Schizosaccharomyces pombe: one gene and its partner. The protein of the gene in region 2 interacts with the protein of the main gene of each other region in a pairwise test. Each region holds a gene or a part of one and is shown on either strand. Other genes may lie near its edges.

Region 1 (3,757 bases), 3.1 Mb from region 2:
ATACCCTTTTGTTTTAAAAATGAATAAAATTACGCTTTGCCGTTTAGACTGTATTTATTTAGCTTTCAGACTTCGCAAAGCAAGATGATTGAACACTGTTCCTTGCTTAACATTTGTCAATTCAAATTTAATTAATTTTAAGTATAATTTTCGAACAATCTACGTTTTCTGAGTTCATTTAATTATGCGTTAGCATGAAAAAATTCCTTTTCTGCGTGATCATTCCTTGCTATGGGCATAAGGCTCTCTATTACAGAAAAACCGAACGATGGGTCTTTTTTAAGGACTAAAGTTGATGATGCATGAATGATATAACCTTTAATATATCCTTGGTCAATTAGAGAAACACAGATACATTCGACATCGTCCATGTCATATGAGTTATCATTTGTACTTAAACGGGCCGCGGTTAACAAGTAAGAACCAGATACGTGCGGGGTTTTTTGGCTTTGCTCAAAAGTAAAAAGAAACCTTTTTAAATTAGTCGAATATTTTAAAAAATCTCAAACGTACACCTTTCTAAATAAATTCCTCCACAGGATGATTTCACATCTATCCAATAAAGTTAGATATATTCCTCGTTTGATAAACCATTTCCTCCTGGAATTGTCCTCCAAAGATAATCTGAACGACTTGATATCACCACTTTTCAAAGCTTTTATTAAAGGTTCGAATGCTGCAGTCAATTTGTATTTTTCTAATAGCCCTTTTGTTGGCGATTTTCCTAATATAAGTAAACACGTTGTAAGATAGATTAGAGAAAGCCTTTTTTGATTAGTAAATATAAACGAATCCTATTTTTGAGTAAAATAAAACATACCTTTTTTGATGATAACACTCATCAGGGCACTGAAGAAACGAAAAAAGTAGATGGTCCTTTGCCTGATGAATTTTGCGTTGATAAAGATGACACCTTCCTAAATAATAACGAAACGTTACTAATTCCGCCATTGTAGCGCGAGAAATATCGGCACCCGAAGAGATGACATTAGCTTGAATAGTTTGGCAAAGACGAATTTGCTTTAAGCGAAAATATAGTAAACAAAGTAAATTGGCAATACAGAATATCGCATCCTTCTTCGAAGGGTTAATGTTTTGTTGACGATCACTCAGTATACTATTGAACGTTCGTAAGACGTTCCTAGATGCATCGCTCACGTATTTCCTCTGTATGAACCCATTACCATCAAAAGAATCTTCTAAAGTAGGTGTAGATGTATCTAGCTGAAGGGAGAGCTTTACATAAAGCTTTGAAACGCGTTTTACAATTGTACACAACCATGCTCCATCGATATGGGAGAAGCAAGTTGTCAAGTTACTAGAAAAACAAAAGTGAGAAATAATAAACAAAAAGTTTTTAATTACCTATACAAGTTTTGTAACAATTCCCATTTTCGTTGATCAGGAGAAGATGCAGCATTTTCAACGTACTCAAAATAGGTAGTTACCAATTCCTTCCAACCTCTTATTCTTCCAAATTCTTTTTGAATGGTTCCGTTTAACTTATTTTTCCCCTTTCTATCCTTTATCACGGTTAGTTAATGTTATAACCTGAAGACAATTACTTGTAGTGCAAGCCTGCGACATACCAAAAAAAGAGTTTTACTGAGCTGTTGAAACGAGGGCTCTGATGGATCTAAAATAATACATTTCTCCAACGTATTGGAGTTTTTCTCTCCAACAGCGTTACTCAAAGTTTGCAGAAAGTCATTTAAGGACATTCCAACCTGTTCCTTCGCAACTTTTAGTACTAAACTTTCAATTATTATGTAACGATAAATAAGTTATAACAAGAAAACTCAACAGATATGTTTTCGCTTACATCGATGTTCTCCAACTCTCACGTTCTGAACCTCATATACGAATAACGAAAGTTAGCAGGTCGTAAACCGGTATACGAGGATTGTTAATAGCACAATAAAGAGACATACTAAGAGTACAGCAGCATTCCTCAAATTAAATGCTACCAGCATCAATCCCCAAAACCGTAGCACTTTATATTGATTTAGTCTTAATCATCTCGGTTTGAAAAGATTCTGTTTCGAGTCTTTGCCAAGAATTAGGGAAATAGTAAAATATGCTTTTACCTAGTATTCCCTCGTGTTCATTTAGCTTTGTTGTTTTCGTTTCCGTTCTTCTCCAAACCTGTTTTAGTTTTCAATTAACTCCCTTAAGTCCGAAAAACTATCCTCCCGGTGCTTCAATTGATACAACTGTCAATACCATTTCACCATTTATTGGAGATGGACGGGGTTCTGACATCTTTAATTATGAATGTACGTGGTTGATAGCTCACATGAAGGTTCATGTGTTTTTTTAAAAACTTTACAATTTTAAATTAGGAAAACACTATAGAAATATGATTTAATGAAGGATATAACATTTTCTCTCGAACTTTTTTGCTTGTTACTAACTTCACTTTAGACTACGATGAGCGTTTCCACTTCTGTCGACCAGAGAATATCGCAAAACAATCTGAGTCACTTGGAAGTGTGCTTTTTGGCGACCGTCTCTACAACTCTCCCATTGAAATAAAAATGCTTGAAAACCAGGATTGTGTTCCCTTGTGTGCCTCGATAATTCCCAGTTCAGATGTCAGTTTTATTAGAGATTTAATCTCCAAAAACTACGTTGTTAACTGGAACATAGATAATCTGCCCGTAGCAACATATTTAGAAGGGACTAACTCAAAGAACTACTCATTATCGCCAGGCTTTCCATTAGGCAAGAATACGGAGAAGGGAGTAATTCTATTCAATCATTATGATATAGTTATAGAATATCATACGACATCTAGTGACCAACACCGTGTTGTGGGTGCTTATGTAAAACCTGTCTCAAAGGAGTCTACTTTAGTTGATGGAAACCCAGTTTGTTCTTCGTCTTCAAATCCACAGTATTTACCGGAAGGAGCTGATCTTACTCTCGTGACCTCTTACTCAGTCTCTTGGAAATATTCCGATACTCCATGGGCTACCCGATGGGACAAATATATGCACATTGAATCTAGGCAAATTCGATGGATCTTTATTATCCATTCCGCAATTATTGACACATTTCTAATTTTTGTGGTTTCTATTATTTTGTACAGAACGCTAAATCGTGACATTAATAAATATAATAGCGCCTTTGTCGATCAAGAAGATGTTCAAGAAGATTTTGGTTGGAAGCTAGTTCATGGTGATGTATTTCGTCCACCTCGTAGACCCATGCTATTTTCTATCCTTTTAGGGACTGGTGCACAACTTCTTTTTATGAGCTCTGGTATCGTTTTATTTGCAATTTTTGGCATTGTTGCACCCTCTCGTCGTGGAAGTTTAGCTACAGCAACGGTGGCCTTATTCATTATATCAGGTTTCGTTTCTGGTTATGTATCTGCATTATCCTACAAACTGATGCAAGGTATGCTTAGAAAGCGAAATCTTCTGTTAACTCCTTTTGTCGTACCTGGTTTTATGCTTGCGGCAGCTCTTTTCTTTAACATGGTATTTTGGAGTAAAAGTTCATCATCAACTGTACCCTTTTCAAGCTGGCTTCTACTCATTTTCCTGTATCTATTGTTTACTGTACCATTAAGCTTTGTCGGTTCTTTAATCGGCTTTCGTTCTCGAGAGTTCGTCCCACCTGTTAGGACAAACCAAATCCCTCGTCAAATTCCATCTCATAGTATTTGGCTTTCGAGTTTTCCTAGTGCGATTATCGGTGGATCTATACCATTCCTCGTAATCCTTATTGAATTGTTTTCTATCCTTGACAG
Region 2 (3,621 bases):
GTTCGGTGGATGAAACAACTCTCCTTTGTAGACGGGCAAAGCTAAGTTGGTCAAACCAGAAGCGAACGCACGAAGAAGCCACCAACGAAAACCTTTCGCAACTTCGGGTATACCCTCATGGAATGGTAACCAAAGCTCATCGGTGCGAGGCTCTACATCTTTTGTTGGGTCCAATGGATAAAAAATGCGTACTTTTACGGTTCTTAGTTTGTGTTCAATGGTTTTATATTCACATCGAAATTCCTCTGGAACACTCAGCTCTAAGACTAAAGACCCCACAGGCAAGGGACCACAGTAGGCAGGTAATTGCTTTTTCGAAGAAAATCCCAATCCCATTTCTACCTAACAAATAAGAATGTAATGTAGAAATATATAAATTTATTTTATTTTAAAGAATGAAAGATTGTGTCAAAAACGATTCAATCAAATTACAAGAGCACAGTGATGATGTATTGTTAATTGCTATGATCACTGTAGTAGGAATAGAATGGAATAATGCCAGAAACAAAAACAAAATATCTCTTTCGTTAACAAGCACTTATAAACATAAATAAAAAAAATAAAATTAATAAATTTTTGGCCTTGCAAGGTAATATGAATCTGTCTGCTGCAAATTTTAATTTTTGGTACGATTCGTACGATTGTGGTAGAAGAAGGAAGACGATGGAAATTGACGAGCATCTATATATAAAGTAAGGGGTTATGATGAAAGATGTCCTTTTAGCCGGTTCGTTTTTATAATGTACAAATCAAAGCAATTGACTCAATAATCAACTTTTGGCATAGGAAAAGGGTTACTTGCACAGCAATTCGAGCTTAAACCGCTTCCATTTGGAGGTCCATCTCCTCGGTCAAATTACTATCTTTTGAAGGAGCAACAGGCTCGTTTTTCTCATGAGCATTGGCTATTGACGGTGTGAAATCCTGTGATGAGTGAGATGACACAGTTGAAGCAGCGTGAAATGACATTGCGTATTCGTCAAGTTCTTTGTCTAAATCTTCGTGTGAAATTGAATTATTAGAAGACTTTTTTGAAGAAGAACGAAATGATCTGTCGTCTTTTTTTGAAGAACGGTTGAATCCTCGGTTCGAACGAGAAGACCGGCTTGGTTTGCGGGCTGAATGTGGCATGTCGGAAATCCGATCGAATAAGGAAGGTGGAGACTTTTTCGAAATTTGAATTTCGGAGCCCTTCAAGTTCGTAGATTGAAGCGTCTTCTGGGCATCTTCAGCATCTTGGGAAGTTTCAAAGTAAACATCGCAGGAGCCTTCAGAGCGACCTGCACGATCATAGTTCATAATCACGCGAATTGGATGGAAATTTTCAAACAAAGACTTAAGAAAAGGTTAGTTTATTAATAAAAAAAGCGATTCGAAATCGGAACAAAGCTCTACTTAGCTTGACAGGGAGATTTTTTGTCAGGTTCGTTTCATAATCTTCAATCGAAAACTAAAAGCGAGGCTTTTGAAAACATAGTAAACATATATCACTTACCAAAACATCTTTTTCCAAAACCTGATAATGTAAGTTTTCCACACGAACCCCAAATCGATTTTCTGAGCTAAGATTGCTGTGTTAGTATATAATGATAATAACAGTGCATGTAGACTAAGAGCTAATAGAGTAATAAAAAAGTTTACAGCTTATCTTATAAATTCAAAACATACTGTTGTCTTTTCTGTAGGTGAGTGGTCCTTGGATGAGCATCCTGCTCTTGATCCAAGTCATGCTGCCACGGGCCATCGTCTGGACTAGAGTTGTGTTCTTTTGATGCTCTTTTGAATTTGTAGGTCTTAAAAAGTAAAAAATTAGTAAATAAACACTTAATCCTCGAAATTAGCATACCAATCGCGATTTTTTGGAAATACGATTTTGAGATCCCCTTCGCCGACTGTGCTTGTGATCAAAACCATTCTAGGATTGTTAAAACAAATATCGAAAATAAAAAAATTTACCGTTCTTTCATTTATAATTTCGTCCAAGGACTTTTCCAGCGACATTTGAAAATTGGTACTTGGCACGAAAATGTCGACTGGTAAAAATTAACCCGGGGCATTCCAAAAAGGAGATTTCCATACCAATTGCAGATTTTCCTGACATAAATTAATATATGCACCTCTTTTTTTATTGTTTTTTAGCTCTCCTTATTTTTCATTCATCTTGCACTACGGTCCTAGAAAGTGTATCTTTCGCCAACAACCCATCGTCTTTCTGCAATTGCTGTTTTCCTTACATTTAAACAAATTCTTCTAATTACTTTCTTATTCTTAAAATATTCAATATTCTTTAGTTGATTTAAATTTTTGGGTCCATCTACCAATAGTTTGTTAGACTTTGCCTTCAAACATGAATTTTCGTCCAGAGCAGCAATATATACTTGAAAAGCCTGGTATTCTTCTCTCTTTTGAGCAATTGCGCATTAACTTCAAACACATTTTGCGGCACTTGGAGCATGAATCGCATGTGATCAATTCCACATTGACAACGTTGATCAGTCAAGAGAATGCATCAATGGATGAAAAAATAGAAAAAATAGATTCTCTCCTTTCAAGAGTCAGTACTGTAAAGAAGAAGGTAAGTTTGATTGATTCTTTTTTTGAGTTGGATATTTGTAACTTACATGGTTCTTTGTGTAGATGAAGCATTTGCATGATTGTGAAGCTCTGTTTATCAAGCAAACTAAGTCACGACTGTTGTTCATGAATCGTCTTCAAGGAATTCGTGACATGGAATCTGCGGATTTTTTAGATTGGTCAAGAGTCAGACTGAATCGTTTAGTTGCTGATTATATGATGGCGAATGGGTACCATGGGGCAGCTGCTCTACTTTGTAAAGACTCTCAGTTGGAGAATTTGGTTGATTTAGGCATATATAAGCGTTATCAGCTCATTCACGATTCCATTCTTCAACAGGAGCTCAAAGAGGTTTTGTCTTGGTGTTCGGAGCATCGAGCAATTTTAAAAAAAAATAATAGTACATTAGAGCTTGAGGTCCGACTACAGAGATTTATAGAATTAATAAAAAGTAAAAAACTTTGCCAAGCCATTGCATTCGCCAAAGCGCACTTCGGTACTTGGGCAAATGAACATCCTGCTCGACTACAGCTAGCGGCTGCCCTACTAGCTTTTCCTGAATTTACGAATGGTTCACCATATTCGGTAAGTTTACATTGAGAGACCTCTGCTCTTAGCTTATACTGACAAATTAGTTGCTTCTATCCGATGACCGATGGGAATATTTGGCTTCCTTGTTTACCAGCAATTTTACTGCCGTTCATAATATACCGTCTGTACCTCTTTTACATGCATTGTTAGCTGCTGGTCTATCTTCCCTGAAAACCCCGTTGTGTTATCTTGACGCGAATGATGATAATCCTTTAGCATTACAATCCCAGACTGTGAAACAATGCCCTGTATGTACGCCCTGCTTAAATGACCTTGGCAAAGCTCTTCCTTATGCCCATATTACTCAGTCTGCGATAGTGGATTCTCTGACAGGCGAAGGACTTGACAGCGACAATTGTCCTGTTGCTTTCCCGAACGGTCGAGTTTATGGTATCCAGAGCCTCATAAGTTGGAACGAAGCTAATGGGACTAGAGAAGGATTTCTTAGAGACCCTT

The links. Proteins that work in one complex are often made in the same cells at the same time.
Region 1: the proteins of tho4 (region 2) and pci2 interact in a two-hybrid assay, tested with the Schizosaccharomyces pombe proteins (one study listed by BioGRID).

What each region holds. Positions count from the first base shown.
Region 1 is NC_003423.3:3,518,284-3,522,040, forward strand, and holds the start of pci2 (TREX/TREX2 complex subunit Pci2), read right to left. Parts: upstream 1,821-3,757; 5' UTR 1,722-1,820; coding exon 1,590-1,721; exon of another isoform or gene 1,524-1,589; coding exon 1,366-1,523; intron 1,319-1,365; coding exon 821-1,318; intron 807-820; exon of another isoform or gene 766-806; coding exon 514-765; exon of another isoform or gene 472-513; coding exon 183-471; 3' UTR 1-182. Other genes in the region: EMP70 family endosomal transport protein Emp70, read left to right, coding at 2,078-2,276, 2,425-3,757.
Region 2 is NC_003423.3:400,349-403,969, forward strand, and holds tho4 (THO complex subunit), read right to left. Parts: upstream 2,018-3,621; 5' UTR 2,002-2,017; coding exon 1,957-2,001; intron 1,916-1,956; coding exon 1,847-1,915; intron 1,794-1,846; coding exon 1,669-1,793; intron 1,652-1,668; exon of another isoform or gene 1,563-1,651; coding exon 1,496-1,562; exon of another isoform or gene 1,336-1,495; coding exon 817-1,335; 3' UTR 606-816; downstream 1-605. Other genes in the region: plg7 (1-alkyl-2-acetylglycerophosphocholine esterase), read right to left, coding at 1-336; gid9 (ubiquitin ligase complex subunit), read left to right, coding at 2,348-2,575, 2,638-3,159, 3,210-3,621.